Linked DNA regions of Caenorhabditis elegans. The protein of the gene in region 1 purifies or fractionates together with the protein of each later gene. This does not show direct contact. Each region holds a gene or a part of one and is shown on either strand. Other genes may lie near its edges. The genes, in order: ife-4 and ZK402.5.

Region 1 (12,186 bases):
TTCGCCAAAAAAAAGTCAGTTCCTTCGAAAAAAGAGCATCGGAATGTGTATAAAAGAGCAGCTGTTATGTGACCTAAAGTCCCAAATCCCCCCACTACTCATAAAAACTGTGTGTTTCCGAGTTTCGGCGGATTATAAAATGTGCGAGAAGAGGAGAGAATTGATATTATATCGAAGGTTGTTGTTGTTTTTTTTGCACCGCGGCGGGCAACTTCTGAGAGTTTGCAAGGGGGAGGAGCAAGTTGTATAGTTATCGGGAGAAAAGGTCAGTGCTCGGAGAGCAAATTATATGTGTATCCTGGATTTGATGGGGTTTCCTGAAGACAACTACATTTACAAATTGGTGTACTTGTAAGAAACTTGTGAGAAATGTCTTCGAAATATTTTTATAGTTGAATTGTCTGCGCATCTATCAAGTATCAATTTACAGTAATTAAAACGCCAATAAAACTGACCAACTGGGCTTTCCAGAAGTTTGGATGTTTAAATGTTGATAAAATCTACAAAGTTCAAGCACAACCTGAAACTCAAATTTTCAGTATAAATCCAAGAAATGAGCACAGGTTGTCGTTTTGCAGTAAAAATTATAATTTCACGCGGAAAATAGGCATTTATTTAAAATAAAAAAATATTTCAAAATAATTCAACAGCACGGGTATCTAGACTTCAACTGTTTCGAATTAATCTTCATCTTCCAGTATGACTCACAATGAGTACACCACGCCTTGTTTCGTTTCCACTGTTTTCGCTTTGCCAGGTTGATATGAACTTGGTTCAGAGATTTCGAAGATTTCTGAAAAGTATTTTAGAGTTATTTCCAATTTATAGTGTAAAGGATTTTTTCTAGAGAGCTCTAGTTGCAACGTGGAACAGTTAATTTGAAATTTCTTTTACAATTTCTACTTGAAAATTTAGGAGTGTTTCTATACAGCATAGCAATTCCAAAAAGACCTGAAAACGAGTAAATATTTTTTTCATAAAAAAAAACTGTATATCTGTTTCTAACAAATTTGCATTACTAAAGAATCATTGCCACTGAATTTCACAGTGGAAAAATTTTCACTTTTGAAATATTTCAAAACAGAGGTTAGACTTTAGGTGAATACAATTTTGAAATCTATTTGATTTGAAACTTAAAGCACATTTAACTTATACTATACTATCTTATAGCATATTATATTATACACTATACTGTACTATATGTACTAATTAATAAAATTTACACTGATCAATTTCATTTAATTGCAGTTTATATTTTGGTTTGAAAAAAAAAATCAAATTTAGGTACATACAAATTTGGGTACATAGGTCTCGCCTTAAAAAAACCATAATATTTTCTATTTATTTTTATTTTCAAAATAAAAGATTTATTGCATTTCTAGACAGAAAAATCACCAGCTTATAAATTTGCTCAACGGTGACCCTTGCGAGTTTTAACAATACATATCAGTTTTTTTTCAATTACAAAACTAAAGGCAAAAGCATTTTTAGAAAATTTCAGTTAGCAAGTTTAAAAAAAAAATTCAATTCATGTCGATACACCATGAAACTATGTTGCTAATTTCATGTACCCGAGCAACAATATTTGTTTTCTCCTCTTTGGATCTACTGACTCAATCCCCGCCCGACAAACCACAAAGCATCAAGTAATCAATCACTGTCTATCTCATTCCCCAACTGGTGTACCCAACGTACACAGGGGGTCTTCAACAAAGTATTACAACATATAGTGCACGGAAAGCCCTCGATTGATAAAAAGAAATGCAACACACCAACAAACGGACCTTGGGAAAGTTGAGTTGTCGGGAAGTTGAAAAAGCGATGGAAGAAAAATGAGGTGAGGAGGAGCGGCTTGTTGTGGGGCGGCATATCTGGTTTTCAGAGATTGATGACAGTTTTGGACCATATGGGTAATCACCACCAATTCGTTTTACTTGTATGATTTTGATGTTCTGAAAAGGGGGGTTTTTTTTTAAATTAATCTGTTGAAAGTTGTTTAAGATTGGGGGAACATATAAATTTGAAAGTTTATAGTTCAAATCTTGAAACAAATTTCAAAAAAAACCTATCTGGACTTGCGTTTTCTGACTGTCTGTACCTGTCATGATTAATTTTTTTTATAAATATTACTTTTTTCTTGGAGCATTGGCTCATCGACATCCTTGCAAACATTAGCGTTTTTGGGTACCGTTGTCTTCTGCAACATAATATTTTCACACAAAAATGCAGTTTAGGCAAAGAAATTGATTACTTGTTGAGATAAAAATTAAAGGGTTTGTTCACATTTTTTTTCAAAATTAATGACAATAATGTTTTATTTCTATTTTTAAGTTTCTTTTAATAATCTAAAATGTCAGCTGCCAATGCCACGTGACAACTTCTATTCACACCACATTTTTCAAATTCTGACAACTTGTATCTTACAGTCAAAGCACCTAACTTTAAATGTAAAAATTAAAATTAATACGTGAACTCACAAATGCACATGATGCCTTTTAAACCAAAAATGTTGATAAACCGACTTTCCAGTTTTGTTGCCCTTCAACTTCTGGATTCCATAGATATTTCCATGATACGTTGAATACGTTTCTGAACGGATTAATTGATTTTGAATAACTTTCATATTATTTACCTTCCAAAGCTCTCAACAGAAATATTGCTACTAGCAGAGAATGAAATTTATCCATAGGTAGTCTACATAGATTGAATAGTTGAAATGGAAAAGTATGAAAAAAGGTAGGTGGCTAATGGAACAAGTACACACATGTCCATCAAATGGGGTGACATTAGGCTTGTACAATTATACTTGTTCCTTTCCTCGGAGGGCGGCTAATGGTAGGGGGTATCCTTGACGTCTAAATGAGGATTGAGAGAGGTTACAAAGATGGATTATCGAGGTGGAATAGATTTACAAAGAAATCAAGGAGCTAAAAGTTTGAAGGGTTTTGAGAGGTTTGGAGACAGAGTTGTACATAAAAAAATGGTTGGTTCAGGCGGAATACTTCAGCTTGAGAGGTTCCACGTGATTCTTTTTTACATTTTTATTTGATTGAGAAATTGGACAGGTATAAACTAAAGTTGCTTACATCAGAATCTGAGAACTCATTGTTGAAACCCTATATGTCTGATTTTTAAGATGACTACATACTTTCAGCAGGGAAATACAAAGCTATGTATACGAGTTAAACAACATTTTCACGCGATGACTTCAATTTTAAATGTTCAAATTCTGAAAGGTCACAGTCTAAAACCTAGTCACATAAATTTTCAGAAATTTATCGCTTTTTCTAGCTAGTAGCCGCTTATGGCCTAAATGCGCACTTGCAAAAAAGGCAAAGAAATTTTTAAAAAAATTGCCACGTGGTAACCTAATTTTTAAAATGTCATTTAAAATTCTGAAAGCCCAGAGTCGAAAACCTTTATAGATAAATTTTCAGGTTTCTATCGCTAATTTAAGCTGAGATATAGGGCATTAAATTTTTGAAGGTCGAAGAGGCCATGCCACGTGCACGCGCGCGCAAAATTAAAAAAAAATTTTTTTTTTGGGAGTTAAGCTCCACTTAAGAAAATTTAGTTTGTTTAGTAATGACATCATGAAAGAAAGACAGGGTTTGATGTCAACTCCCCCTGAATACAGCCCCCGGCTAGGTTACAGACGCCCGCCACGACGCCCTGCGGTTTTTGAGTTTTAAATAAAATATATAAATCCAGAAGCTGTTGGGGGCTCGAGGGGGAAAAGATGGTCACTTTCTGGATAGTGTATCTCACTTCTTTTTAGAGATACAGAAAAATTGTCAAGTAACAAAATGTTGTACATTTTGTGAACTACATTTTAACCTAATTGCTGGAGTTGTAGTTTTGAAATTGAGGTCAGCAGGAGGCAGTTTCCGTAAGATTTAGACAAAACTATATATTTCAGTTTGTAATGTACTTACAATTCGGATAACTCAGGTGCGTCGACTTTTGGTTATGGACTTTCGAATTTTGAAACATCCGATTCAATCTGAGGTTGCCACGTGGCATTTACAGTTGACACTTCTAATTCCAATAAACTTTTATATTTCGTTAGTGAATTTGCTTGCAATTTTGAAAAAAGAGGGGTATATATTTTCGACTTTGAGCTATCTGATTTTGTAGCTGAATAGTTGAAAATTAGGTCATCACGTAGTACAGTGCTGGCCAAGAAGATATCCACTTTCAAATAAGAATAACTCCAAAACTAGAGATGCTATCAAAACACTTTCAACTAACAAAACATAGCTCATGGCTCGGTCTATATGTTTTTGTATGTCTATATTATTTAAATTTTATGGAACGAATTAAAGCGGTCGACATCTCGTGAGTCCATTTTTCATGATGATTACCAAACGACTGTATTTTAATAACTTTTTTTTTAATGTAGGGTTGTGAAAGTAACGTGATGCACCAACTCCTTTAACATTTAATGATGATTCTTTAAAATCTAATAAATTATTTTGTTTGGTTAATGCAGAATTCTTCAATTAATTTTCAATAGAATAAATTTATTTAAAAGTGTCCATCAGCTCCAAGAGCCGCCAGACTAAACCACATATTCAAAAAAAAACTTGAAATCATAAAACTAGTCATTATACAGAATATATTAAAACCAATAACGAGATTCCTCTCATTTTCTTTTTCTCCGGACCCAAAATGATTCCCAATCGAAAAAAATAATAGTAAAGCAGCATGATCATTTGCAGATATTTTTAGTAGTATGACGATATGAGCTCTGATCTCTGAGACAGTCATCGTGTCGTTTGTATTCTAGTACCGTGTTCTGAGGCAGTTGGAGCACCGATCGAAGAGTTTCTCGGATTCTGTTGGTTACTGGGGTGTCGTCTGCGTTTCTGGAAAATTGATGTAGTTGGGAATGTCATCAGGGTGTATGGCAAATTTGTTGATTCAATTTTCCACAACTGTTCTACTTTCCAAGTAAAATTGCAGAAAATAATAAGTGTAAAATTACGCAAAATTTGATCTGACAAAGTGGAGCTCTAACAAGATTTGGTGACCTCTTGAAGCAACAGGCGCGTTCATTCAAAAGATATGCTAACAAAATTTGCAATTACACTATTTTCACATCTGGCAGAAGCACTAGTAGATTTTTTTGACATTTTCAAATTCCACTAAGACTTTTTAAGATTTATGGTGTGAAATGTTTTCAGTTGTTTTTTGTCGGTCTTGCACAATTTGGCATTGTTGTTTTTTTCACGTTTTCCAGTTCCCAAATACTCCAAGTTTTAATTTTTAAATTCCAGCACTAACCTATTCCATAATGATATAATATCTTCCTGATTGCGAATTGAGCACACAGCTCCACAGAGCTCATCTCCAACCAAAAACTGCTCTCCAATGATTGCCATGAGCAGATTCTCCCAAATTCTTGTCGACAATCCTTTCTTCAGTCGGATAATCCATTTTCCACCTTTGCAGTTCGCCGGATCTTCCCACACTGGTTTGACGCCAGTTTTGAAGAAGTGAATGTCAGCTTTGTCGCACATTTCTGGAATTAAGTAAAAGTTATGGAATGGAATGGAAGGGAAATCTTTTTGAAAATAAAAAATTTCTGGAAATTCTGTGTCAATTATCAGCAAATCTAGACATTGGTTAATAATATACTTTAGGCAATTTTTTTTTTAATTTAGCTTAGCTTCAGATTTTTTTTTAACTTCAGATTTTGAAACCATTCAAGCAGTATCAAAAAATTTATTCGTCGCTTAAAAAAAAGTTTAAAAACTCGATATTCATAAAGATTTGTGAAAAACTTAAAAAGGAACAGTTGAAAGTGTTCAACTACGTTTCAAACACTTTATCAGTCTTGCACTACTAGGTCAAATTATTCTTTAGGTACTTTTAAGTTTCACTATTTATAATACCCCTGAACTCTTATAAGGTTACTGGAGTTTTTTTTATATTTTCAAATTTAATTTTTAAAGCATAGTTTTTGATTTATTTTTAAATACTTTCCACTATCAAAACCCTTACCAGTTGGCCGTTTGAAATGCACCATAATACTCCAAAATTGCTCGACAGACTTCATTATTCCAACAGGCTGCACATAACTAGCATAATCTTCCGGATCGAATTTGCCAGTTGGCCTCATGAAATACGAAAATGTGTATGAATATTGAAGTTGGTGATCGTCAGAGCCGACCGGAGCATCTTCCTGAAAAATATGGAATTTTTTAGAGGGCAAGCTCCACTTAGAATTCATCAAGGTGAGTTTGGAGATAGGATAAGTGGATTTGAAGTGTGAAGTGTACTGGAACAAAATTTTAAAAAGCTGTTGGAAACTTAAACTTCATGTTTTCACGAGCATGGAGCATCAAACATTTGATATAATTGGTTGGAAAACCGCGTGGTTTTTTGAAATGTTTTCCATTCAGAAGTTAATTTATTTTGAATTTCAAAAATTACTTGTTCACCAACTTTTACTTTTGCAAAGTGAAATCTTACCATCAAAATTGGCAAATTTTTGACCTGCTTCACAACTTCCTGAGTTGACGTTTCAGCTTCCATCTCTGAAAATTAAACTTTAACGTGTCAAACAACTGGAATTCTAAAAGCGTTTTAAAACACCTTTGCACTTGAAAAATCATATTTAAAAAGATGTAATTGAGCAATTAAATCAATAAATAATCAAATAAATATTCCGATTATCGGAGTCCACAAAATCTCGATCGCTTTGATACAAATACATAAAACGAGGAACGATGGTGGTTGTGAAAAGATGAGGGGAGGGCTGTTGAGGATAGCAGCACATACAAACGACCTCTGAGTCTCTTGAAGTGAAACAGTATTGACGGTTGGGGAGACGCAGAGGTTTTGGGGCAACGGGGCGAACGTTATTGATCTGCGCATACAACAAGAGAGAGAGAGAGAGAGAGGCACCACGGAAAAGGGGAAACGTTATTTATGCATTAGTAAATATGTTTCTTGGCCAAAGTGAAGTGAAACATATTTTCTCTTGAATTTAGAGCATAAATTTAAAGTTTGATCTTTTAAAGTGGGATAAGCTCCCGGGCTTGAAGGTGAAATATCGCCAGCCGGGAAAAATTTCCAAACCCTTCACATGCTGCATAAAAAATTTTTCAACAGAAAAAAATTGTTTTAAGTGGAGCAGGGTGTAAAGCAAGCACAAAGTCAGATTTTTAAGCACCAAGCTAAGCTTGACAACAAATATTTTCTACAGTGATGCTCAAAAATTTTCAAAAAGGCTTCATTTCTGGAGAACTTAGCGATTTGCCACAACTGAAAATTTTCCAAAAATCTACGAATTGTTGAAATGTTATTATGATACTCGGGTAAGTTAGACAATTACACGTGTGCTAGAGCTATGAAAAAAAGTTTTAACGCTTTTTACGCTAATACTGAAATTGTGATATTATTTTTTAAAATTAGTTTCAAAAGAACATCTACAAACATTCATTCTTCGCAATTAGCTGTAATAAATAAGTATACACATAACAATAAAAACTGAGTTTGCTGCGGAACGAAAGTGTTCCCATAAAATATATTCAAAAAAAAATAATTTGGTTCAAAATATACAATCACAGAATTGTCTTGATATATTCAACAGCCGACTTGAAGTTGACCCAGTAGTAAGCATCACGTCCCGACTCGATGCGGTCACCGGCAAAGGTTTCAACAAATTGCACGTTAGACAGAAGAGCACGTGGATTCGCCTGGAAATGAAAATTGAAAGCTTCAAGCTAATATCGAAATTTAAAAAAAAGAAGTTCAACTACATAAATGTTTTAACTAGATATATGTATAACTGACAGCTTTTTAGTTATTACTATAGTCTGCAGCGGTGAAGCCTAAATTTTAAATTAAATTTAAAATATTTTCCAAAACAAAAACGAAATTTCAACTGCTTCTCTCACCTTAATAATCACAAAAACTAGAACCGGTGTGAGGTCATCTGCGGATGCGACCGCGTTTTTCGAAGACAACGCCACCAGGTTGTTGATGACGTCACAGCATCGGACCACACAGTTGAGCTTGTCCTGAGCAGTCACATAAATATCCAGCATTGAGAGTTCCGCCTGAGCAGACGGCCAGGGAGCTTCACCGTGGAGGTGCTGCAATTTTTATTGTGTACAATATGTTAGTCAATTTTTTTCAATTCAATAAAAAACAAATAATAAAAAATAAACTTCTGGAATTTTCAAAAAGTCGTTGACCGGCGTGACTACGTCAGAAACTTTGGCGATGGTTCCACGGAGCAACCTGAGAAAATAACATGAATTATTGTTCAAGTTTTGGTTTTCGATTAAAAAAAGGATTAAAGGACGATCCGTTCTTCAAGTGCTATGCACTGCGGATCTGGGATTCAGGTACACTGCCTGGTGGTGATCCCTCTGAGCTGTAATTTAAGCCACGTCCTAGCCGGGGGCTGTGGCCGTTAATCCAGTCGTGGATTGCTCCACTTCCCAATAGAGGCTGGGTGAACCTAGGGGGTGAGGCCAAAATTGAACTCGTGACCTCCAGACTGCTAGCGGCCACCACTACCGACTGAGCTATCTGCCCCCCTCCCTTAATATTAAATAGCAATTTTAAGCTTAAAAGCCACAATTTTTGCACAAAATTTCTGGAGCATGGCTTCAAGAGTAAGCCAAATTTTTCATCACAGTTTCTAGCTATTACACTTGTTGAAAGCTCCCAAGTCTCAAAAAATCCTCACTTGTCTCTGTGATGATCCGCATCTCTATTCGGGTAGAATGCGTTATCATAAACCGCAAAAATCACATAACGCTCGATGGTTGTCATGGCTCGCGACATCATTGTATCCGTGGCAAACTGAAACCATTTATAAATTACTAGCTTCTTTATACTAGCTTCCTTACATTCCAATCCACGTTTTGCATCAAGCGATCCCTCAAAAATGTGAGTAGATTCTTCAAAAACTCGGCACGTTCATCCTGAGCTCGAAGGTATTTGAATTCGTCGTAAAACTTGAGCACGGCCGTCACTTCCTGAGTTTTGCCAACTGTGTGCTTGTTGTTGAAGCCCGTTTCCAGAAAAGTGCGCATGAGGAAATCAACGAGGATTTGCTCGGTGAGCCGGCGGTTTCTAAAATAATGAAAATCGATGAAAATTTACAGATAAAGGAAGGATGCTTACAACAAAACTCTTTGCTCCAACGAAGAGATATCATTCGATTTTCTCATTAGTGAAGCACGTTCCTCACGCATTCCATTTACGATTTTGTCCTGCTCAGCTTCATTCAATTTCAAATGGTCCATGAGGATTTCAACGCTGAAATTTTTAAAGGTCTCATCTACAAATCAATACTGAGGATATGGAATTTGGCTAGTATGAAAAGAGTCTAAGCTTAAGCCTTGACCTAAATCTAAGCCTATGCCAAAGCTTTCGCCTAAGGCTCAGTCTTAGCCGAAGCCTGAGCCTAATCCTAAGCCTAAGCCTAAGCTTAAGCCTGTATGAACCTTCGAAAAATGTCATCCATTATAAAAATGAAGATTGTTTCTATCGCGTATTTCACTGCTTGAAATAATGTTTTTCGAATAGTTTCATTCCCGCTCTTACCCAGCGTGCTCAAAGAGTTCGATGCATCGCTTGACTTCTCTCAACTGAGCCGCAAGCCCGTACTCTCTCCTGTGCTCAGTTTCCACGAGGACTCCATCCAAAAACCTCCCAAGCAGCACTTTCTTGTCCCACTCATTTTGCTTTGTCTCGTTGCGATACCCGATCCTTGGCAAGTAGGAAATGTTCCCGAGAACTGTGATCATTTTTCGAAGGGTGTCTTGAAAAGCCCTGAAACACCATAATCTGGATAATATAGATGAATTAAAAAACTTACCGACAACCAACCAGATTTTCAGACGAATAATACGGCTCCAGTGGCTCTTTTCTCGGAGTCGATGAGGCAGAGGCAGTGCCATCAATTAGATTCCCGAGCGCTGGTTTTTGCTCTTTAATCGATGATATCGACGCGTACTTAGCCAGAATATCGTCACGTGGACCTGTAGCAACGTCTGGTAGGTTTTGCTCACTGCTGCTAGTGGGGATGCCTGACGGAGGTGGTTTTACAAATGATCCCGAACGACGGAGGTGCTCACGGATGTCGGATAGGGTGTTGGATTGTGTGATTCCTAAAACTCTAGCTAATATGTATGTTTGAGAATTCGCGCTGGATGGAACTGAAAGCTAATTGAAAGTGGGAGGACTAAAGTTCATTTTAAAATGTTAAGAATCAGTTTTTCAACCACGTATTTCAGAGGTGCGTGGAATTTCAGCAATCACAGATTGCCGGAAAATGGTAATTTCTTCTAAATGCCGAAATTCTCCAACAGTTCAATTTCTGCGTCCTTTCACTACTCGAACTTTAACTACGCAGGTAATCCGCTCTGCCTGGTACTTCCCAAAAAAATTAGCTCAACTTAGTAAAATAGTAATCTTCTTACCCTTCTTCATCCTATCGCTCAAACTTTTCAGTTTAGCAAGTTTTCCTCGTTGCTCGCCACCAACTCCTTGATCACCAATCTGAAGTTCTTCTGTAGATGTGAGAGGCTCGGGGGACACTGATGTTGAGTCACTGAGATGTTCGCTGTTAGTTTCAGCTGAACCAGACGAAAAGTCAATAAGATTGTTTTCCACTGGAGTCTCCTTCGGTGCTGGAGTTGGCTCCAGAAGCTTCTCCAAATCAGCCAACTGTCTCCTTTCCTCGGCCTTCTTTTTTAGACGATCAGCTTCCGCAACGTCTTTGTAGTTTTTGGGGCTATACTCTAAGTAGAACAAATCAAAGTTCTCTTTTCCAAAAGCTAGTGCTTCTCCCTGTTTTGCTCCGAGCTCATTGATATCGTTGAAAGAGTCACCGGTTCGTTTGAATGAGTGTTGAACTGAAAAAAAGTGTCAGTTATGAAAAAAGTTCCCATTTGGGTGTATACCTTTTCGATGAATATTACGAAGTGTTGATATTTTTGGTGAAGCCTCTAGGTTGTCAAAGTGTGACTTTTGAGTGGTGGAGCTGATTGTGGCGGGAAGCTTGTCGCATACTGATAAAATTCTTGAGAGCTTCGCGTCAGAAGTTGATGGTGCATTACGAATAATTTTAATCTGGAATTGAAATTTAGAAATTTCGCTTTTTTTCTATATTCGAAGACCTCCAGGCTTATCCTACCACCTGGTGAAATTTTGGAGGGTATACAACACTTTAGCTGACTAAGATAGCCATACAGATTTTGGATTTGGGTCTATAGCCTGATATCTTTTGACTTAAGTCTAGTAGCTTTTTTGTCTGAAACCAACATCATCACTGATTTTCCTATCACTGTTTTTTAGCCTATTTCTAAAACTGACGTCCCTCGAGCCTAACACTTTTGGGTCTTGACAATAAGAGCGTTTGTCTAGACTTTCATAAAATTTTGATATTAGGGATGACTCACCAAAACGTTAACATCCGCCACAGTTCCAACAAAACTCGATTTCGTAGCCATATCCGATTCAGCAGTCCCGTTCGCGATAAGCGACGTGATCTCAACGTCGGGAGCAAGTTTCTCCACAAGTAAAGCATCCATCATTTCTGATATGAGATGTGTGTTCTGAAAAGCTTCTAGTTGAGAGCAGTATCAATTCCAAAGACAACTCACCCGACACTGGCTCAAAAACTCTTTGTACTCTTCCGGCGGCGATTCAAACTCCCTCAATGAAATCATTTGGATAATCATCGCGATTTGAACCAAGTTATGGTTTACAATTGTCCCAACTCTGACATCATTATCCACAACTCCAAACTTTTGCGGACTGATGATTGCCGGGCAAATGAGGTTTGAAACAATCATATCCTTGCAAGCATGACTCAGCTCAATAGCTGACACATCATCGACCACCTCGTACAGCGAGCAGAATATGTCTCGAATGATCCAATTCAAATTTGGTGGAAGCATTGGCAGAGCTTTCGAGATATCTAAATGCATTGAAAATTTTATATTTGTTCTGTTTGGCGGAAAACAACTCACTTTCCAGAAAAGTGTCAACAAAATCGACTAGCTTGGAAACAACGAGAGCTCTGTATTCGGGTAGGCGATCCTCATTCTGCTTGTTATCACGTAAGAACCGAGCCGTGGACTGAAAAATATAGACGTATGAAAAGCTCTCTTGAAAGTGAGTTTTTTTCCAGCAGCTAAACCAAAACCAGGTTTT
Region 2 (12,684 bases), 300 kb from region 1:
ATTTGTTTTCGAATACTGATTTGTTGACGATCGAAGCGTGGAACACCAGTTTTTTGTTCTTCTTGCACATGATCGCTATTCGAATTATGTGGTGCAAATCCTTCGAAGATTGGTTCAGGCTTCGGCTGTCCCTTCATCGCTCCGATGTATTGCACCTCATCGTCGTCACTGTCCAATTGAAGAGATTTTAAAAGAAAGCTCACACTTGTGATAAGAATGAACTTTATTATATGAAAAGTAAGAATACAGAAAAAATGGTATGAAATTGTGGATGGGAAAATGGGAAAGTATTGGCTGGGGACTCAAAGACCCAGCGGTTTGTAAACGAGTGACCTGTCCCTCTCAGGACAAGTTTTTTATGCTGTCTCCTCTCTGAAGAGACACGAGGGAGAAAGAGGAATTTGGGGCGGGGCGGCGGTATGGTATGGGAGAGAAAAGGGGGAAAGGTTGAGGCTCTTAGCCTATATTAAAAAACATTACAATAAAATCAATTATAATCAATTATTGCATTCCTTGGCTTTTGCTTAGAGGTATGAATCATCAAAGAGGTTTCATACACTCCCCGCGCCGCACGATGAGTAGCCTCGGATTTTGTTTTGATCTCCTTGTTGAGCTTGAGTAGACTGCCTGGCTTGAGTAGACAGCTTGGCTTGAGTAGATGATAAGATTTGATGAGTGTGTGATGATGATGATCTTGACAGCTTGCATTACTTTTGATCTTCGCTTCTTTGAATGGGATCCTCGATACAGATGGAACAATGATGATTGATCCTTTTACAGTACGTACATGGCTTTGGAGTACATTGATGTTATCATACCCACAGGGTTCTTATGAGGTCTTTATATATTTTACTAACATGGTGTAGCGGTTATGTTACTTATGAGTTTATTATTGGAAGTTAAAGAATATAAAGAATAATGAGGATTAAGATGTAAAAGATAGAATAAAGATAGAACAGAATGAGAGCTCACACCATCACCACTCAGGAACCATCATCACCACCACACTACCTTGCTCTTCTCTTCTTTCTTCTTCTTGGTGTCATGGGCGTGTCCAGAGGGCGTAACCAGATGACATGTTACTAGGGTTTCTAGGTGCAACAATGTCTTCCTTCTCGTTTTGCCAGGCACAAGTGGCAACGGTTGTCTTTGTCGAGGATTTTCTTTCTTTCGAAAGTTCCTTTCGTGTGCCCGCATCGATTGGAATGATGATGATAATGGCAGTACACACATCGCGGTGTCTTCTCCTCCTCATCCGTCGTGAAGTCCCTCATGGGAACTTTCTTATCGTTTTTGAACACTGAGTTCTTCGGTTTCCTTCGAGGAATACTCGGTCCTTTGTCGACCTTTCGTGGGATGTTCCCCTGAAATTCTTTGGGATCGCTTTTCAAGGGGAGCTTGCAAACTCTTGCATACAGATTTCACATAAATAGTTGGCTGATTGTTCTCTTCCATCATCACTTCTTTATATTCTTGCGAATGATCGATGAGCAAATTATAGGTTGAATCTCTATTGAGGAGTTCTTCAAAATCGAAATCAACTGGCTCAGGCTTCGGATATCCGTCCACAGTTTCAATAATCTCCAGATCATCGTCGTCGTCACTCGAGCTCCTGAAAATAATCAAATAAAATACTGCGTAATATGAAATTGACAGGATATACATTTCAGTTCTCGCTCTTTTCGGAGATCTAGGAAGAGAAGTCGCCGAATCTACGCCATCTTCGTCGCTCTCGGCTTGGTTCGTCGTCTGACTTGCATTCATGACCATGTGCACGTGTCGACCAGCCTTTCGGTGATATGCAGATGTTCTTTTCATTCTTGCCGAATGACTGTGGTCCGCCTCCAACTTCAGCTTTCCATCACGTTATGCATACTCGCAAATTCGTTTGCCATCATTGAGCACGACAATTCCATCCGTTTGAACTTTGTAAATCACTATTCGTTAACTCAAAAACCTTTTTAAAATTTTTTACTGTGTCAGAAAGTCGTCCGAAACTTTTCCAGCAAGCCCAAGCATCACTCGGAGACGGCTTTCAATACTGTAATTGTCCAGTTGATCCATGTTTGGCGCAAGCTTTTTATGGAATCTAAATCTAAATTTATTAAAGAGAACCAGGTATAATATTCTCACTTTCGATAATAGGCTCCATCCGAACATCTGGCATTTTCTTTTTTACCGAACTCCATGAAAACTTTTGTTGCCACCAGTGGCTCATTGGCTTCTTTCGTCTTTTCAACAAGAAAAGTCATCAATCTTACGTCATCGGCGGTAGTATGTGGAGCTAAATTTCCCACCCCCAGCCAGGGAGCTAAATTTCGCACCTGCCACCAAACCGCGTTCATGCACCGATTTTTTTCAAATCTATATCGTTTTCTTTGTTTTTGCCGATAAGTTTGATCAGGTTTCCCACAAAAACCTCCTCACTCTTACTATTCAATCTCTGTAGATAGTTTTCTGCTTCCGTGGAATTTTTTTACTTAAAGTCAGTAATCATATTGCAGTGTTTCTGTTCTGTGCACCAAAGATTTCAATTCCACTTGACGGAGTTCTTCGTCATTTCAATGATGTGGATGAACTGGTGGCGAGATTGAGGAGATGGCGCGACGGAATTCGTCGCTACATAGTAGTATGTGGAGCTAAATTTCCCACCCCCAGCCAGGGTGCTAAATTTCGCACCTGCCACCCACACTGCAGGGAAAGAAGGGGGAGAGGTGAGTTCAGTTACGGTGATGGCCGAAGGCCAGGGAGCTAAATTTCGCACCTACCCCACCCATGAGAGAAAAGGGGGAAGGCTGGAGTGATGCCGGGGAGCTAAATTTCAAGCCTAGTCAGGGAGCTAAATTTCCCGCCTGCCACCCATGAGAGAGATGGTGGAAGGGTGAGATGTCGGTGGTTTTCAATTTTATATGTATTCTCAAAAGTTATCAGTGCATTCGGCGCGGAATTTTCAGCTTCAAGATTGAAGAATAAAGTTAAGGAGATGTATCAAATTTAAATGTTTGAAGAATTATTCAGTTTTTTGTCGAAACTTTTTTTATTTTCAAAGATTTTCACAAATGATAAAAGATTCCATTTTCCATCCAAATTGTTTATTAAACAAATAAAACGAAAACAAAGCTTTTATTCAGAAAAAAATGGAAATTGTAATTTATAACTTGAATGGCGAGGAGACCAGACACGGTGGCACTTGAATGGTGACTTGAATGGCAAGGAGACCAGAAGCATTTATTCTGTCCTGTAAACGGTAGGGTAAGGTAAAAAAAGACTAAGAAAAAAAACTCACCATACTCTAATGAGTCCTTCAATCTCATCCAGGGCCTCGAGATTGAGAATTATTTTGCGTAATTCTCTGTTCTCCTGACGAAGAAAACGATATAGATTTGAAAAAAATCGGTGCATGAACGCGGTTTGAGTGGCAGGTGCGAAATTTAGCTCCCTGGCTGGGGGTGGGAAATTTAGCTCCACATACTACTGAAAGTCGTCCGAAACTTCTCCAGCAAGCCCAAGCATCACTCGGACACGGCTTTCAATACTGTAATTGTCCAGTTGATCCATGTTTGGCGCAAGCTTTTTATGGAATCTAAATCTAAATTTATTAAAGAGAACCAGGTATAATATTCTCACTTTCGATAATAGGCTCCATCCGAACATCTGGCATTTTCTTTTTTACCGAACTCCATGAAAACTTTTGTTGCCACCAGTGGCTCATTGGCTTCTTTCGTCTTTTCAACAAGAAACGTCATCAATCTTACGTCATCGGCGGAGAGCATGATCTTCGTTGACCTCTTTCGTGCTGCCTTAGAAGATTTACTGTGGATTCTTTCCAACGTGAGTTTTCCGTCGCGTGACTTATAATTGCAGATTCGCATTTTCTTGTCAATCTTAACAGTGCCAGTCGATTTGATCCTGCAACAAACTAAATTCATAAATCTGAAGGTAACATCTCTCCTCACAATGTCATGAACTTGTCCGACACTTTTGCCGACAAGGCAAACGTCACTTGAATGCGTGACACGACACTGTATTCGTTTTTTTCGTTTTATGTTCCGACCCCTACAATACTTTAATACGAATCCTTAAGCATCGTAATTTATTTTCGTTTTTTTTTTTTTGGTTTTTCAAAAATTTCAATTTTTGTTTTTTGGTCCAAACTTTTTTTGGTCCCAGTCCTGTGGCCAACTCTACCTCGGGACAACATAATAGGGGCAACGTTTTTCAATCTCTAAAATAATTTTTGTATAGTTTTATTTGCGCGCATTTGAAAAATCTCATGGGTACGCAAATGAAAAACGCGATTTCAAGATCAAATATATAATCAGGGATTTTTTTAATTTGTTCACATAGATGTTCGGAATCAGGGGAAAATTTGGAGTTATTTAAAAATATTTCCTAGATTTCGGTACCCCACCTTTAATACCTACAGTTGTGACGTAATTTTTCAACACTTTTTAATTTTCCGACACTATTTGAATAACCCCATTCAAAGTTGTATTATTCAAGTCACATGTATTCCGAGAACTTCCTAAATTACAATATATTCGAAATATTATTCATATTGGTAAATATTGATGGATGGATTCCTTTAGTCGACAACATATTGTCACCCCACCATAAAACCCTCAAACATGTTGTCACCGTCTAGATAGGTACGTAGAAAAGAATGACTCACTGTGTTCATATAACCTTGGCGTTAGCAGCTGCACAGCAACATTCTACATTTCCAATCATTCTTTGTTTTACTTGGGTTACTGGTGGTGACCCTCTTCTATTCTTCTAGTTTTCTATATGAACCTTTTCTAATGTTATTCCTATTTTTACTTTAGTAATATTAATTGGTAGAAAAGTAAGTTTTTTTTTGAATTTGTTTCAACAGGTAAGTGGGAATTTTATTTCAAAATATGCAATTTGTTGCTAAATTTTGAGAAATTTATTAAATTGGAAAACTGATAACACTCTTGGTTATCACTTTATTTGAATTTTCGGGCTTTTCTTCTCAAATTTTTTTAATTTTTAAAAGTAGGTGTTTGTCATTGGTGAAAATTATTTAAAACCGCTGAGATAGTGCTATACTCTTTAAATTCTATTATGAAACATTAAAATTTTTCAAATATTGCTTATTAACTTTGATATAAGGTGGATTGATTATTTTAAGTTTAAAATACTGTGTAGGAATACTCAAAGAGTTTAAGAAAAGCATTCAAAAATGCTGTGGAGTAGCGCCAGTGGGAAAAGTGCTAAAACTATTAGAAAACTATTAATATGATGCCAAAATGACCAAATATCACAACAAAACTTTTTAAAATTTTTTTGAAATTTTTTATTTACTGTCAAAAAATGACGATTGACAACTCATTTTTTGCCACTCATAATTCTGGAAGTCGACCAAAAATTTTTTTAAAACTTAAACTTTTTATATTGTAATTTTGTTTCAATTATTCGTATTAAAGTATTGTAGGGGTCGGAACATAAAACGAAAAAAACGAATACAGTGTCGTGTCACGCATTCAAGTGACGTTTGCCTTGTCGGCAAAAGTGTCGGACAAGTTCATGACATTGTGAGGAGAGATGTTACCTTCAGATTTATGAATTTAGTTTGTTGCAGGATCAAATCGACTGGCACTGTTAAGATTGACAAGAAAATGCGAATCTGCAATTATAAGTCACGCGACGGAAAACTCACGTTGGAAAGAATCCACAGTAAATCTTCTAAGGCAGCACGAAAGAGGTCAACGAAGATCATGCTCTCCGCCGATGACGTAAGATTGATGACGTTTCTTGTTGAAAAGACGAAAGAAGCCAATGAGCCACTGGTGGCAACAAAAGTTTTCATGGAGTTCGGTAAAAAAGAAAATGCCAGATGTTCGGATGGAGCCTATTATCGAAAGTGAGAATATTATACCTGGTTCTCTTTAATAAATTTAGATTTAGATTCCATAAAAAGCTTGCGCCAAACATGGATCAACTGGACAATTACAGTATTGAAAGCCGTCTCCGAGTGATGCTTGGGCTTGTTGGAGAAGTTTCGGACGACTTTCTGACACAGTAAAAAATTTTAAAAAGGTTTTTGAGTTAACGAATAGTGATTTACAGAGTTCAAACGGAGGGAATTGTCGTGCTCAATGATGGCAAACGAATTTGCGAGTATGCATCACGTGATGGAAAGCTGAAGTTGGAGGCGGACCACAGTCATTCGGCAAGAATGAAAAGAACATCTGCATATCACCGAAAGGCTGGTCGACACGTGCACATGGTCATGAATGCAAGTCAGACGACGAACCAAGCCGAGAGCGACGAAGATGGCGTAGATTCGGCGACTTCTCTTCCTAGATCTCCGAAAAGAGCGAGAACTGAAATGTATATCCTGTCAATTTCATATTACGCAGTATTTTATTTGATTATTTTCAGGAGCTCGAGTGACGACGACGATGATCTGGAGATTATTGAAACTGTGGACGGATATCCGAAGCCTGAGCCAGTTGATTTCGATTTTGAAGAACTCCTCAATAGAGATTCAACCTATAATTTGCTCATCGATCATTCGCAAGAATATAAAGAAGTGATGATGGAAGAGAACAATCAGCCAACTATTTATGTGAAATCTCTTCAATTGGACAGTGACGACGATGAGGTGCAATACATCGGAGCGATGAAGGGACAGCCGAAGCCTGAACCAATCTTCGAAGGATTTGCACCACATAATTCGAATAGCGATCATGTGCAAGAAGAACAAAAAACTGGTGTTCCACGCTTCGATCGTCAACAAATCAGTCTTTCCGCGAATACTGGAGCCACTTCAGATGAACCCATTAATATGTCTGAATTCCTGAAACAACTGACCCAGTTCATTTGCTTTCTCAAAAGTAGGGAACTCGAGGAGCTCAAGCAACAAATCAAAAAGTCAATTGGAACTAATGTTGATAAGGTTTACAGTTCTCATGGAAAAAAAATTATTTTGAAAATTCGATTTTCAGAAAATCCTATTTGCCGAGCTTCGTGGAGTTTTCGAGGCATTCCTCATCACGATCAATCGAAAAATCAAAGCAACCGCTTGTCCCTGCTATGTAGGTCAAGGATTTCCTTCTCAAGTTCAATGGACCTTTTTTTCCTTTTTTTTTTGGGATGAAAAAATTCGCAAAAAAATTTCCCGTGGTGGAGGGTTGAACTCATCCCCTCCCCCCTCCCACCCCCCATTTTTCAAAAGAATTTTTGACATTTCAAATTCGAATGATTTGTGTGTTCTAAGTTTCCTTAGACTATGTTAGGTCTTTTTTTTTAAAGTTGTATGAAAAATCAATAAAGTTCGTCCAACAAAAAAAAATTCGAAAACATTTTTAATGGTTTTTTTTTTCAATTCTTGCATGTTTGCCCAATTTATGCGAAATCCACCTATCAAAACTCAGATAAAAGCTGACAAGGTGCACCATTGGACAGGCGAGAGCCTGAAAAACGAGTTCCCAAAAAATCGGGAAAATCGATAGGAAAAACGTTATGATTTTTTACCCAGAACGTATTTTTCACCCTAAGAAAGAATTTTTCATTAGAATTTTTAACTGTTTTTTTTCAGTTGTTAAGGACATTCGGGATGGCTGATGTGATTGATGCAGAAATGGAAACGATAGAGGAAATGCTGTGGCCAGAAAGAATAATTTTTGTTATAATGATACTTGTAATTCTTGGGAGTTTATTTACCGTTTCCTAGATTTTTAAAGTGTTCTCTATGAATGAACCTAATTAATTTCTTGTATTTTGCAGTACATATTTCACCAAAATATAATACAAAACTCAACACTACAGATATTTGAATTGCCCGTTAAAAAAACAATAAAAGTAAATATGAATTTTTAATATACCGAGTGAAATTAGCTGAATTTTAATTTTATTATTTTTTAGATTATAATATTCGAACTTTCTCTCTTTCTTTCCAACTAAAAGGAATCATCTGGGTGCGTAGGAAAAAATGGCTTTACTACTATGTTTACATTACACTGACGACAGCAGCTGCACTGCAACATTCTGCATTCACAACCATTTTTTATCTTACTCGGGTCACTGGTGGTGACCCTCTTCTATAAAACCGTTGCCAATCTGAAGTCGCCGCGTCGCTCACTTTTCACCGAGATCGCTGTCTAGACTTATAAGCTTTTGATCCATTTCTTTTGTTTTGACCCACCGCGCGCGCGCGTATTCTCATTTTGAGTGTGCGTCGCCGCCGGCCTCACTCCCTTCCAGCCAGTATAAAAACCGGAGTTTCTTTTATTTTCGAGCTTTTTTTTCTCTTTTTTGTTTTAACGCGCTCTACATTCTGTTTGTGGATGTGGGGTCCGACAGGCATTTGCTCACTGCTTCTTGCATTCTTTCTTTATTCTTATTAGCTAGTTTCCACTTCTTTATCGAATTTTTTTTTGTGTTTCATGGTAGTTTTTTCTTCATTATCAAACCATTACTTGTTATATTGAATGAATTTTTTCAAGTTTACAGAATGCTCAACCAAGACCACAACGCCTCTGCCAAATCTGGTGGTACTCTTCCTGTGCTACCCCTCGCTCTTCAGGAAACTTCCTTGTGTCAAACAACACGAGTCTGGCTGAGACAAAATGGAGGAAGTGGATGAGACCGACTTGTTCCTTCAAAGTGATCAAGCAGGAGATCAAGGAAGAGCAGTAGGAAGCGGATCAACCAAAGAAGCCTAACTTAGATGGACTCAAGCGCCAATGTGGAAAACCTAGAGGAATGCATGGAACTTGACTGTGCTCAAGAAATTGAGGAAGAAAACTGTCGTTGCTTTCCAACAGCACGAGTCTGGCTGAGGAAAAAAAAGAAAGTTGTAGCACTTTGTGGTCCCAACACTCCAAAGGCGATGGAAACTTCTTTGGCGTCAAACAACCATCACGATGCTCAAGCTGAAAATGTGGAATACCTAGAGGAATCTATGGATCTTGACTGTGCTCAATTGAGGAGGAAAACCTAAAAGTTCCAAGGACTACAGTTTCGCCGGGAGAACAACAATCAGTCTCGTTCCTTTTGAGTGATTCGGCAGGAGATCAAGGAAGATCAGGAGGAAGCGGCTCAACCAAAAAATACTAACTTTTTTGAAAACTCTGATAGACTCCAGCGCCAGTTCCTTCGAGCAACACGAGTCGCACTGAGAAAAAATGAAGAGAAATGAAGGAGTTCAGTGGTTCAGCAGGAGAACATGGAAGATCAGGAGGAAGCGGCTCAACGAAAGTAGCCGCAAGCTGATACTAAATGCTGAGCGATTGATTGAGTGGAGAAGTTATCAAACTCTAGGTAAGTACCTTATTTCACTTTCCGGGCTTTTGTCCTCAAACCCCAAAAAAACAATTTTTCACGATTTTCTTAAAAGCTCATGCTTTCAACAATTTGAAAATTGCCAAAACTTTGACTTTAAAAAATTATAAAAAAATCTAGAATTTTTTGAATCAATTTAAGCCAACTAGGACCTCACCGGCGCTACTCTATCTTCAAATCATTCTTTTCAGACTTCTACCGATTCTTCTTCAATGAGCACACCTCATGCCCCAATTTGTTGTGAACTTGTTTCGATACAAATTCTATCGGGATAATGGCCCAGACTCTATCGGAGCAAGTAAGTTTTTTAAAAGTCAAGCTTCATGTTATAATTGTAAAAATTTCAGATATTGGATGGAAAAAGCATAGCGAAAAAAAGAACATAAAAGTGGCGAGATTGGCACCAGGAACGGCAGAATATTAATTTTCCTTTTTTTTTTTAAATAAAATGTACTTTTAATTCAAATTCATGTAGTTTCAAATAAAGAAAATAAGTCTTCCTGCTATCTGAATTCAGTTTTTTTTCAACTTCTCGGTGTCGCAACGTCTGGAACCTAATTTTTATTTATTTATCATTTTTTAACAAGTATTGTAAGACACCACAAAATCTAGTCCAGTCATCATTATTTCCCCCTGCTAAACTCACGGAAAAGTCTCGTGAGAATCATGTTCTCCACTCTCCACGTCATTTTGAACGTTCTCTCATCAAGTGATAAGAAAGATAGCAATCTTTCTCTAAACCCCCGTTGCAGCTGATTTCATGGGATTTTACAATGACCACCAGACTAGTGATTCGTTGCACCCGGAAATATACAGCCAAGTGCAAGAGTTCAGTGATAACTGATCTAGGAGGGAGCAATGAACAATTTTTGTTTTCTTCTATTTTATTTTCCAATGGTGATCCTTGTTTTGTGGATTTTGACCGACTAATAATAGATCTTTAAAAAACAAAACGTGTGGAAAAATATTGATGTTTATCTGGTTTTCGTTTTTTTGGATCACAAGTTTTTGTTTTGATTTTTAAGTTTTATTTAACAACAACCTTTTTTCTAATTTGAAAAATTGTTTCAAGGTTTAAAATGCAACATATTTAATTTTTCGCATACGCTTAATAAAATTTGAATTTAAAAAAAAGAAAAAAAAATTGAACGAAAAAATGTTTTCAAAAAAATTTCGCGATTTCAAAATGAAAAAAAAATTTAGCCAAAAAAGGTTTTTTTAAATACTTTGAAAATGACAAAATAATCACTTTTTCATGAAAATGTGAACTCGGAGTTCCATAGTTAAAGTTGGTTTTTTTTTAATTTTAAAAATTAAAAATAATTTTTTTTTAGTTTTTAGTTTTTCTATTTCTCACTTTCTTAATTAGAAAATTAGAATTCGCGGTTTTTTAATACAGTTTTTCACAGATATTTGACTGTTTCAATTGCTTTTAATTCTGAATTTATGTCGGTAAATTCTTGGCTCTAATTCGGGTTTTTCTGCTAATTTCTAACAATTTTTATAATGTGTAGAGTTAAAAAAAATGCCTTAAAAAAGCTTTCCCTAGAAATTTTAACACCCACAATTTTACTTTGAACAATTTTTTAAAGGTGGAGTGCGCCTGTGGGGATATTGTTAAGAACCACTTCTATGATCCCAAAATGACCGAATATCATTATAAAAGTTTTCAAGCCTTTTTTGAAATTTTTTTATTTACTGTCAAAAAGTGACAATTACTCAGTTTTTGCCACTCATAATTTTTGAAGTCGACCAAAAAAAAAAATTTTTTTTCCTATATTTTAAAACTTTAATTCTGATTCAATTATTTGTATTAAAACATTGTAGGGGTTGGAACATGCGAGATTGCTTTGGATTTCCTCAAAAGCAAATATTTATTTAAAATTTTGGAAATTTGCCAAAACTGAGTGTTTTATTATGATATTTGGTCATTTTGGGTTATTACAAGTGTATTTAAACAAAATTCCTACTAGCGCGACTTCATCTTTAAAAATATATCCAAAAACCACCGATATATATACATACATGAGCTATCAAAAAAAAGACTCCCCAATTACATCACTCTCCGTAACGAACACCCGTGGTGTCTAGTCGTTTAGTGTAAGAAGTTAGATGTCTATCATCATCTGACGACAGAAATTCCGGATTTCTATTGTTCACAGAAAGAGAAAATAGGGGAGGGAGGTGGGACATTTCAGAGACTGATGTAATATCATCATAAGTTGGGGGAGGGGGGGGGGGAGGCGGAAAAACAAACAAACTTTTGAGACTTTATTCTCTATTTTTTTGAGGCTATTGTTTTAAGCGTACCCGACTGATAACGTATCAGGCAAACACATTTTTTTTTTCATTTCTTAAAGTCCAAATTTCGGAACAGTTTTTTTTGTTCAGACTAAAATTTTACCTATAATTTGAAAAAAAAAATTAAAAGTGGAAATTTAATCAAAATAACAATTTCAAACTGTTTTTTATTTCGTTGTTCTCGTGGTGTCAGATTGTCTCATTTTGGCTTGATCTACGTAGATCTCCAAAAAATGCGGGATTTCTCCGATACAGAGTTCTCAACTGATTTTGCATGGTTAAGAACGTGCTGACGTCACATATATTTTCGCAAAAAATTACCGCACATTTCGTAGATCAAACCGTGATGGGACAGCCTGGCACCACGTGTTTTTTCCTTTTTTTGTATTTTTTTTCTTGGCGAAAAAAAAACTTTTTCTTGATTCAGTTTTATCTATATTTTTTTTAATTTTCTCACACCACTGATTCAAAACATTTTTTTTAGGAAAATGACTCAACAAAAAATGCACATGTTCTCCACTGAAACTGCTCTTCGGAAATTCCAAATCAATACTCAATCCGACACAATTTACGTGAACCTCAACTACCTGGCAGAGCTCTCCGAGTATTTTCATATGTAAGTTTAATAAAACATCGTTTTTTTCTGAAAAAAAAAAGAAATGTAAATTTTGCAGACTACGCACTGGCTTCTACTCCGAAATGACAGCTGAGAAAGTTAATTTGAATGATGTTTTTGCAGAGGATCTAGTAGTTTTTCTGTCATATGTGTGCCCAGATGGTTTTGAATTTGACAGAACTATTAATCGTAAGTTAGCTTTTTTTGACTGAATATTATTGTGACTCAGTGTTTTTAAATAAATTTAAAACAAATTATTTATGAATTAATTTTTAAGTATCTGTATAAATATTATTTTTCTTCAAGTTTTTATATTTCAAAGGTAGAAAATTACACTGTTTTATTTTTCGTTTATATCAAAATCCAATTTTGTTACTCAAAAATATATTTTTACGTTTTCCAACATGTTTTAAATTTTGCCATTTTGAGTTGATTTCTTGCAAATTTTAATTTTT

What was found.
Region 2: the proteins of ife-4 (region 1) and ZK402.5 fractionate together in Caenorhabditis elegans (co-fractionation; one large-scale study listed by BioGRID). This does not show direct contact.

The regions. Positions count from the first base shown.
Region 1 is NC_003284.9:1,098,568-1,110,753, reverse strand, and holds ife-4 (Eukaryotic translation initiation factor 4E-4), read right to left. Parts: upstream 6,543-12,186; 5' UTR 6,541-6,542; coding exon 6,478-6,540; intron 6,188-6,477; coding exon 6,007-6,187; intron 5,525-6,006; coding exon 5,287-5,524; intron 4,869-5,286; coding exon 4,712-4,868; 3' UTR 4,508-4,711; downstream 1-4,507. Other genes in the region: C05D9.4 (uncharacterized protein), read right to left, coding at 644-793, 1,785-1,952, 2,131-2,197, 2,478-2,589, 2,633-2,687; rme-6 (Receptor-mediated endocytosis protein 6), read right to left, coding at 7,572-7,706, 7,908-8,105, 8,181-8,253, 8,708-8,823, 8,871-9,096, 9,148-9,282, 9,571-9,798, 9,845-10,136 and 5 more. UniProt on the Caenorhabditis elegans protein: Recognizes and binds the 7-methylguanosine-containing mRNA cap during an early step in the initiation of protein synthesis and facilitates ribosome binding by inducing the unwinding of the mRNAs secondary structures.
Region 2 is NC_003284.9:1,393,405-1,406,088, reverse strand, and holds ZK402.5 (SPK domain-containing protein), read left to right. Parts: upstream 1-4,729; 5' UTR 4,730-4,846; intron 4,847-5,458; 5' UTR 5,459-5,550; coding exon 5,551-5,558; intron 5,559-5,605; coding exon 5,606-5,887; intron 5,888-5,931; coding exon 5,932-6,045; intron 6,046-6,093; coding exon 6,094-6,357; intron 6,358-6,408; coding exon 6,409-6,925; intron 6,926-6,974; coding exon 6,975-7,265; downstream 7,266-12,684. Other genes in the region: ZK402.1 (Protein FAR1-RELATED SEQUENCE), read right to left, coding at 1,092-1,364, 1,417-1,612, 1,664-1,818; ZK402.2 (SPK domain-containing protein), read right to left, coding at 1,972-2,089, 2,134-2,345; H39E20.1 (Transposase), read left to right, coding at 9,538-9,610, 9,660-9,736; F56C3.9 (BTB domain-containing protein), read left to right, coding at 12,102-12,229, 12,288-12,418.